Linked DNA regions of Coturnix japonica. The protein of the gene in region 2 binds, or shares a complex with, the protein of the main gene of each other region. Links are inferred from orthologs where the notes say so. Each region holds a gene or a part of one and is shown on either strand. Other genes may lie near its edges.

What was found. The genes of interacting proteins can lie anywhere in the genome.
Region 1: the proteins of ATP7A (region 2) and ATOX1 are in contact, whole or in part, in an NMR structure (PDB 2K1R), measured with the Homo sapiens proteins. The link is inferred for Coturnix japonica from reciprocal best matches to the Homo sapiens genes ATP7A and ATOX1. Residues at the interface, in NP_000043.4 of Homo sapiens: Cys19, Asn20, Ser21, Cys22, Trp24, Thr25, Gln29, Asp67, Asp68, Met69, Gly70, Phe71, Asp72; in NP_004036.1 of Homo sapiens: Thr11, Cys12, Gly13, Gly14, Cys15, Ala18, Arg21, Val22, Lys25, Lys57, Thr58, Gly59, Lys60.

Annotation. Positions count from the first base shown.
Region 1 is NC_029528.1:5,159,328-5,163,076, forward strand, and holds the start of ATOX1 (copper transport protein ATOX1), read right to left. Parts: upstream 2,316-3,749; 5' UTR 2,190-2,315; coding exon 2,184-2,189; intron 1,481-2,183; coding exon 1,405-1,480; intron 96-1,404; coding exon 1-95. UniProt on the Homo sapiens protein: Binds and deliver cytosolic copper to the copper ATPase proteins. May be important in cellular antioxidant defense.
Region 2 is NC_029519.1:12,219,221-12,222,869, forward strand, and holds part of ATP7A (copper-transporting ATPase 1), read left to right. Parts: coding exon 1-32; intron 33-479; coding exon 480-713; intron 714-1,141; coding exon 1,142-1,233; intron 1,234-1,598; coding exon 1,599-1,726; intron 1,727-1,893; coding exon 1,894-2,048; intron 2,049-2,370; coding exon 2,371-2,505; intron 2,506-3,358; coding exon 3,359-3,553; intron 3,554-3,649. UniProt on the Homo sapiens protein: ATP-driven copper (Cu(+)) ion pump that plays an important role in intracellular copper ion homeostasis.

The sequences.
Region 1 (3,749 bases), on a different chromosome or scaffold from region 2:
TCCAGTCTTCTTTAGGGTTTCCAATAGGGTGTCAACATTGTGCTCTGACTCAATGTACACCTTCTTGTTGGGCAGGTCAATATCAAACTGGACACCTGGAAGGAAAGGAAAAACACTTAGTTAGAAGCAATCAAATGGTATAAAAGCAGGGAAAATGTCACTTTCATGCATTTGTGCTCTCACAGTGTCACCAAGTGAATTGTACATGCCTCTTGTCAGCAAACTTCTGTTCTGTGACCAGCACAACCAGAGCAGGATCCCACCAGCATTGGTATAAAGGAATCCAGATTGCCTATATATGTACATTAGGCACCATAGGTTTATTATGGGAGCTTTATTAGACTAGCACAATCACAAGCATTAATGAGAATTAGCAGAGTTTAAACCAACCACTGTAATCTGCAGCCAGCTCACTCTGTGCTGAGGTTTGGCACGAATGAGTACTAATGAAGGAGATGGCATAGAGGTTAAGATGGGGTCAGAGCAGGTTTTATCAGTGGCAGTACCACCTTGCAGCTGTAAGCAGGAGGAAGCTCAAGACACCTTCCATGTGGATATGCCACTGGTAAATAAAGGTCAGCCACTCTAAAGCCAGAGAGAAGAACTCAACGAAGCTTCTACCCAACCATATAATGAAGGTAGGTAATAGCTTTAGCAGCTCTACTGCTCCATCCCATGAGTCTGTATTTGGCCAGCACGTCAAAGAGTGATGGGAGGACAGAGGTGCTGAAAACAACACACAGAGGAACTGGAATCACCACAGCCTGGCAATGGGGTCCTGAAGAATTCTCACAGCCTTCAGCTTGGTGACTGAGAGCTGTTCCCACTTGGTGAGGATGGGTAAGCAGGATCAAAAGTCCTCATAACTGGTGAGTGCAGGCCAGATCCTGCTCTCTTGCTGCTCTCAGCACAGAGGAGACACAAGTTATAATTTTCCAGGTTGAACAAAAAACAGGCTGTGCAAGCAACCACCAAACCCTCTGCTCAGCAGCTCTTCACCATGACTGTTCTGCATTTGGATGCTGATGACACATCCAGAGAAGCACTGCAGCTACCAGTGGCCTGGCAGGAGATCCACCTTCTCTTCTTCTTCCCAGCCATCCTGAGCAGGGGGGTGCAGCTCCTGGCAGGTTCAGGATGAGGCCCTGGTGGTGCACAAAGCCACCTGATGCCTGAAGCCTCCTGCATCCCCAGCACTTTATCCTTCCCGTGTTTCTTCTCCAAGGGTTACGCCAGCCCTGCTAGCAATCAGCTACCAGCAGCTCAAAGCAGAGTGATAAGGTGCAGAGGTTTCCACTCAGACACTTCCTGCTGTTACCCACATTGCTTCCTGCTCAAAACAGAGGACCCTGGGGCAGTGACATCTGGCCCCAGAGTCATAATACACCCTGTAGCTCGACTCACCTCCCAGTCTATGCAGGACACGGGTGACTGCATTGGAGCAGCCTTCGCAGGTCATGTCCACAAAGAACTCGTGTTTCTGCAAGAAGACAGATGAGGGTTCAGCAGCATTCACCACCACCTGGAGGGTCCTCTGGAGGCTGCCTGCTCCAACCATGCACTGGAATCAGGACACCTCCAGGGCCAGCACAGCTCTCAGGGGGTTCTCCTGGCCCTGCTAGGCAGGGGGGTTGGAACTACATGATCCTTGAGGTCCCTTCCAACCCGGGTCATTCTGTGATTCTGTGATTCTCCTGGACCCATTGTATGCACAGCCCAGGAGGAGCAAGCCTGCTGCTTTGCTCTGCAATGCCTATCCTATCATATATCATATCATCATGCCCCAAACTCATAAAAACATCATGAAAATAAGCTTGAGGACCACTACCCGCAGTACTCACAGTGCACACATGCGTGGCCCTAAGGCTATCCACTGTGCTCAGCCTTCTGTACGGGACAGGCCCTATCTCCTTCACCTGATATCCTTAAACAAGAAAATCAATGCTGCTCCCTGTCTCCCACCCTCAACCCCTCCATCTTTTTACTCCAAACCACCTTTAACCCCCCACTATCATCACAGCGCGGATCAGTGCGGAACTGAGCAAAACCAAAGCGCTCAGCATCACCATTTATCACCATTCCTATGCGGAACTGGCATTTCCTTCATGTTCTGACAAGCTCAAGGTGGTTCCATCCCCCGGCCCTTCGCTGTCCCCCCCGCCGCCCTCCCGTCCCGCACCCACCGGCATGGCGTGGCTCCGGCTCCCGGTTCCCGGCTCGGAGGAAGGGGCGGCGCTGAGCTCAGCTCCGCACAGCGCCCCCGGGGCCCGAGGAGGCTCGGTAGGGTACGAGCTGCCCGTGAAGCTTCAATGTTCGGCTCTTAGTGAGACAAGTCATTTGCTGCGGGTGTTTGGGGGCTTTTTGGTGTGGTCTTAAGGCTGAGCAAAGCTGTTTGAATGGCCTTTTAGGGACGATGTATGTTTTAGGATGTTTTTGTTCTGAGAACAGCCCCTTGGTTATGTTGCTCTTCCCGTTTTCCTGATCGGTGAGGCTGAATGGCAGCTCTATGGGTCACAGCAAAGCAGGATTAGGGCTGAAGGCCTTTGCTCTGCTCACCCAGGGGGATGCCAACTGAGAGCCCATAGACATTCATTGTGCTGCACACAGGACCTGGCTGCTGTGCTGCTCTATCACAACGTGAGCTCCCTTTCCTCCCAATGCCGCCGTGGTCCCAGCAGTGGTTATTTGAGCTGTGGGTCACTGCTCTGACGTTGAGCCCCACAGCTGTGATTGATGCGCTGGCAGATTGTGCTGCAGCCCTATAAATAGCCGGGCACACAGGGAGGGGGGTGGGCAGGGCTGGGATGTGGTGGTGGGGAGGGACTCAGTCTGAGACAGTCCAATATATCTGATAGTGCTTCATGTCATAGATATGATGGGATACAAACACAGCCTGCTCAGCCAGCTACCTGCTGCTCCTCCATCCTGCTGTCCTCAGCATCCACACCTGCACTATGTGTTGTTCAGATGAGGCTCAGGGGGTCAGAGGCGACCTAGTGAGGCCCATTGGAGATCTCGCAGCCTGCTCTTAGTGATAACCAATGCCCGTCCCAGCGCTGCCCCCCAGCAGGGGGTGGTACGGGGCACTCAATGCCGCCCCTCGTGCGGGGTGACTGTCCCTTTAAGGCCCTGCCTGTCCATCATAGCCCGTCGCGCCCTCCCATTGGATAGGATTGGATAGGTCCCGCCCCCATCTCTAACGGGGTTTACCAGCACCTTCTCAAGGGCGCTGCTGTGCGCTTCAACCACACTACGGCGTCACGCCTGCCCCGCCTTTCGCGCCTGGTCTCGCGGTCAGCGTCGTCCTATTGGCTACCGTTAGGTCTAGCCCCGCCTCAGCACCGAGAGCTTCGCCTCCTATTGGTTCGGATCGCTGTCTGTCAATCTCCCCGCTCCGCGCAGCCAGGCCGCGTGGTTGATAGAGTGAGCTGCCATTCATTTATCATCCCGCCTCCTTTCCCCTCTCCGAACCAATCAGCGTCCGAATGAAGGAGAGCGGCGCTGTGTGATTGGTGGAGCAGCCTCCCGCCGGGTTAGGCTGCGCGCCGGATATATGTAGCCGGCGGCAGAGCACGCCGTTGCGTGAGGTGCTTGTCGTCCGCCGGGCAGGCCTGTGCTCCTGCGACGCCTCCCGCTGCCGTCCCGCTCCGCCCGCAGGTGAGGGGGGCAGGGCCGGGCTGGGAGCGGGGCCGCGGCCTCGTGGGGATGGCGGAGGGCTGCGTGCACCGGGGCGATCCCATTTCCATCCC
Region 2 (3,649 bases):
TTCTGTCATTCTTACTCTGTGTCCCAGTACAGGTAGGTGGCAATGTGACCCCAAGTTTGTTGGGGTTAGAACATGTAAGGTGAAAAACAATGGAGAAATTAAATTTGACAAGTGACTGTAGTTACACTAATGGAAAATAATTCTGAGGTGCCACCACTCCATGCTAACATAAACAGTGCTGGGGACTGTTAAGGGTAGGTCAATCCGTGTGTGGGTGCTATGCAGTCTGACAGCATCTGAGGCAGCTTGTCTAGCTCTAGTCAGTGGGCATAGGAAGGAGCTGGTAGAGCTGCATGGTGGTGATGTAATCTGGGAATACTAAGGGGAAGATCTGTCTCTTGAGCAGAGATAGGAGTTGGTTCAGTAAGTGATGGAGAAGACAAATGACAAAAAAAAAGAGCTATTTCTTTTGGAAAAATAGTGCTGTTGTGTGTTACGAATGTGTGTACAGAATATAACAGGTGCCATTGCTGTTACAGATATTTGGAGGCTGGCACTTCTATATACAGGCATACAAAGCGTTGAAGCACAGAACTGCAAACATGGATGTGCTCATTGTTCTGGCAACCTCCATTGCGTTCGTCTACTCATTTGTTATTCTTCTAGTTGCAATGGCTGAGAAAGCAAAAGTAAACCCTGTGACTTTCTTTGACACACCTCCCATGCTGCTGGCGTTCATCTCATTGGGCCGGTGGCTGGAGCACGTTGCAAAGGTAAGGGAAGTAGAAGTACTTGTGTTGGGCAGAAAAGAGCATGGCAGCTGTATTTCAGATGGCTCTCAGTAGTGATGGTGGAAGGCTGAAGTTTTGTGCTGCCTACAGTACAGAGTAAACATTTGTTCTTGGTGTCACTGAATGGAAAACGTTGTATCTACAAGCTTTAAGACACTGAATATGATTTCAGAATGGTGCATACCTTAAAAAAATCAGCTGCAAAAGCTTTGTTATATTTTTTTAACCTTTTGTTGTTGTTGCTATAAAATCATTTTCAATACCTAAACCAGTAAAAACTATGAAATAATACAAATCCATGTTCAGAAAGTATTTTCTTAACAGAGTAAATTGCAGCATATGAAGTTGTCGTTTACCCTACGATTTTTTTGCAATACATAGTCAGAAAAATATGAAAATTATTATTCTAGGGTAAAACATCAGAAGCACTGGCAAGACTAATTTCATTACAAGCTACTGAAGCAACTATTGTTACCTTGGGCCCTGATAACATTCTCTTAAGGTATCTTCATCATTTGCATTTTCTATCATTCCATTTTTGTTGATAATACATGAAATTCACAGTCAGATGTTATAATTCTGTAGAACTATGAAGAAAATAACTTCAGATTTGTATTTGAAAATGTTAAAATGCAGAAAAGTAAACACTACTGCAGTTTGTTTTATTGCAGTCTCACTCATTTTTGCTTGTAAGCAAATAAGTGGATTTTCTCAGCTGAAAAGTAAATTAACATACAATAGGTTTAGTGCTCTATAAAACAGCCTTTGTTTAAGTTAACAGTGTCATCCAGTGGAATTATGCTTTATGTTTAGTGCTTTTGCCTGGTTAACTTCAGTTAACAATCTCTTGTTTAACAAACTCTCCAGTGAAGAGCAAGTTGATGTTGAGCTGGTTCAGCGAGGTGACATTGTCAAAGTGGTGCCGGGAGGCAAATTCCCAGTGGATGGTCGTGTTATTGAGGGACACTCTATGGTGGATGAATCTCTTATCACAGGTGAGCATCTGTTTCGTTTGCAAGCGTAAGCATGTTTTTGTTTTCTTTTAAATGAATCTGAAGAATAAAAGTTGAAATTTTTTTTTAATAAAAGAGTTGGTAGTCATGATCAGAAATAACATTGCTGCAAAAGCTCCAACAGTTATCTCTTGTTGACCTTTCTTTAGGTGAAGCGATGCCTGTGACTAAAAAGCCTGGCAACACAGTGATTGCTGGTTCCATTAATCAGAATGGATCACTGCTGATTTCAGCAACCCACGTTGGAGCTGACACAACTCTCTCACAGATTGTTAAACTTGTGGAGGAGGCCCAGACCTCAAAGGTAGAGTATTATCAACCTAAGAGTTTGGGTTTTGTTGTAGCTGGGCATCAGCACACCAAATCACTTGCAAAACGATTAGGATTGTTTAGATATGAATTGCAGCTGGACCGTGAATTTTGGTTTTGTTTGTTTTATTTTACTGAATGGGAACTTTGATATGATCCACTGATTCAAATCTCATCATCTTACAGAGTAAATAATGTAATTACAAAGCGTGGTTTGCCTAATGTGCTGAGATTTGTTTATGATTATGGTTATGTCTGAAGTCATACAAGACAGCATGGTGTTGATGGAGCTGACACTTGTTTTTTCTTCTTCCTAGGCTCCTATACAACAATTTGCAGACAAAATTAGCGGCTACTTTGTTCCTTTTATTGTGGTTGTCTCTGTGGTTACCCTCTTTGCCTGGATTATAATTGGATTTGTGGATTTTGAAATAGTAGAAAAATATTTTCTGGTAAGTCAATCTCCTTAAACGATTTCTTCAATATTTCACATAAAATAAGCCTACAGATCTATTGGGCTGCAGCAGTCCCATTTTAGATTATTCTTGCAGACAGCTGTGGGCTGGGAATGCATGAAATTATTTTCATCCCTGTAATTTCTATCTGTTCTGTACTGTAACTTCCCTCTGACGTTTTCATGTACAGAATATTCAGTGATTAATCAACTCTTGGAATTTAGTTTTTAAAAACTAAATAGAAAAACTAAATTGGGAAAATTCAAGGTTTAGTGTTCGTGTGTCCCCTTCTTTGTGGGGAGAAAAATCCCTTGCATCATAGGCTCCAATTCTGCCTCTAGTTTTTTTTAGCATAGCTTTGTGTAAATTCAGCTTTAAAATCAGTGGAATTCATATCCCACGTGAATGCCAGAGGAGGATGAGAATCCTGATTTGTACATTGGGGTTGTTTAACTCTCAGGTCTTTTGCGGACTAGATTTCCAGCATTTCTATCTATTAGTTGCAGGAGAACAGTCTTCGTGTCTTTGTGGCATAAACTCTTGATGAAATATATTTTATCAACATTCAGAAGAGCTGTCGTAGAGTGTGGTCCCTTATTTAAGAAAATGTCTTATCAATAAAACAAGTCATGAGTATATGCTCTATATAACAAAGTTTAGATACTGGTAATGATTTTTGTAATTAATCTTAGCTATGGCATAATTTTTCCTGGGCATTCAGTTTTAATGTTTCATCTTGCATGTTTGCAATTTTTACTTCCTTCTTTTTACATCAAAGGCAATGTGTAGTTGAACACATCGTTTTCATTGCTGAATTTCATTTGTAAATAAAACAAATTTCTGTCACTAGGGTTACAATAAGAGCATTTCTACAGCTGAAGTGATAATCCGCTTCGCGTTCCAAGCCTCTATCACAGTCTTGTGTATTGCGTGCCCCTGTTCCCTGGGATTAGCAACCCCAACGGCTGTGATGGTTGGTACTGGAGTAGGAGCTCAGAATGGCATACTGATCAAAGGAGGAGAGCCATTAGAGATGGCACATAAGGTAAGAAATGTGGGTTGTAAGAAATGTAGCGGTAGCATTTTGCCAGTTCCTGCCTGAGCAGATTTCTGTGTTTTTTAAGTAGCATATTAGAATGTT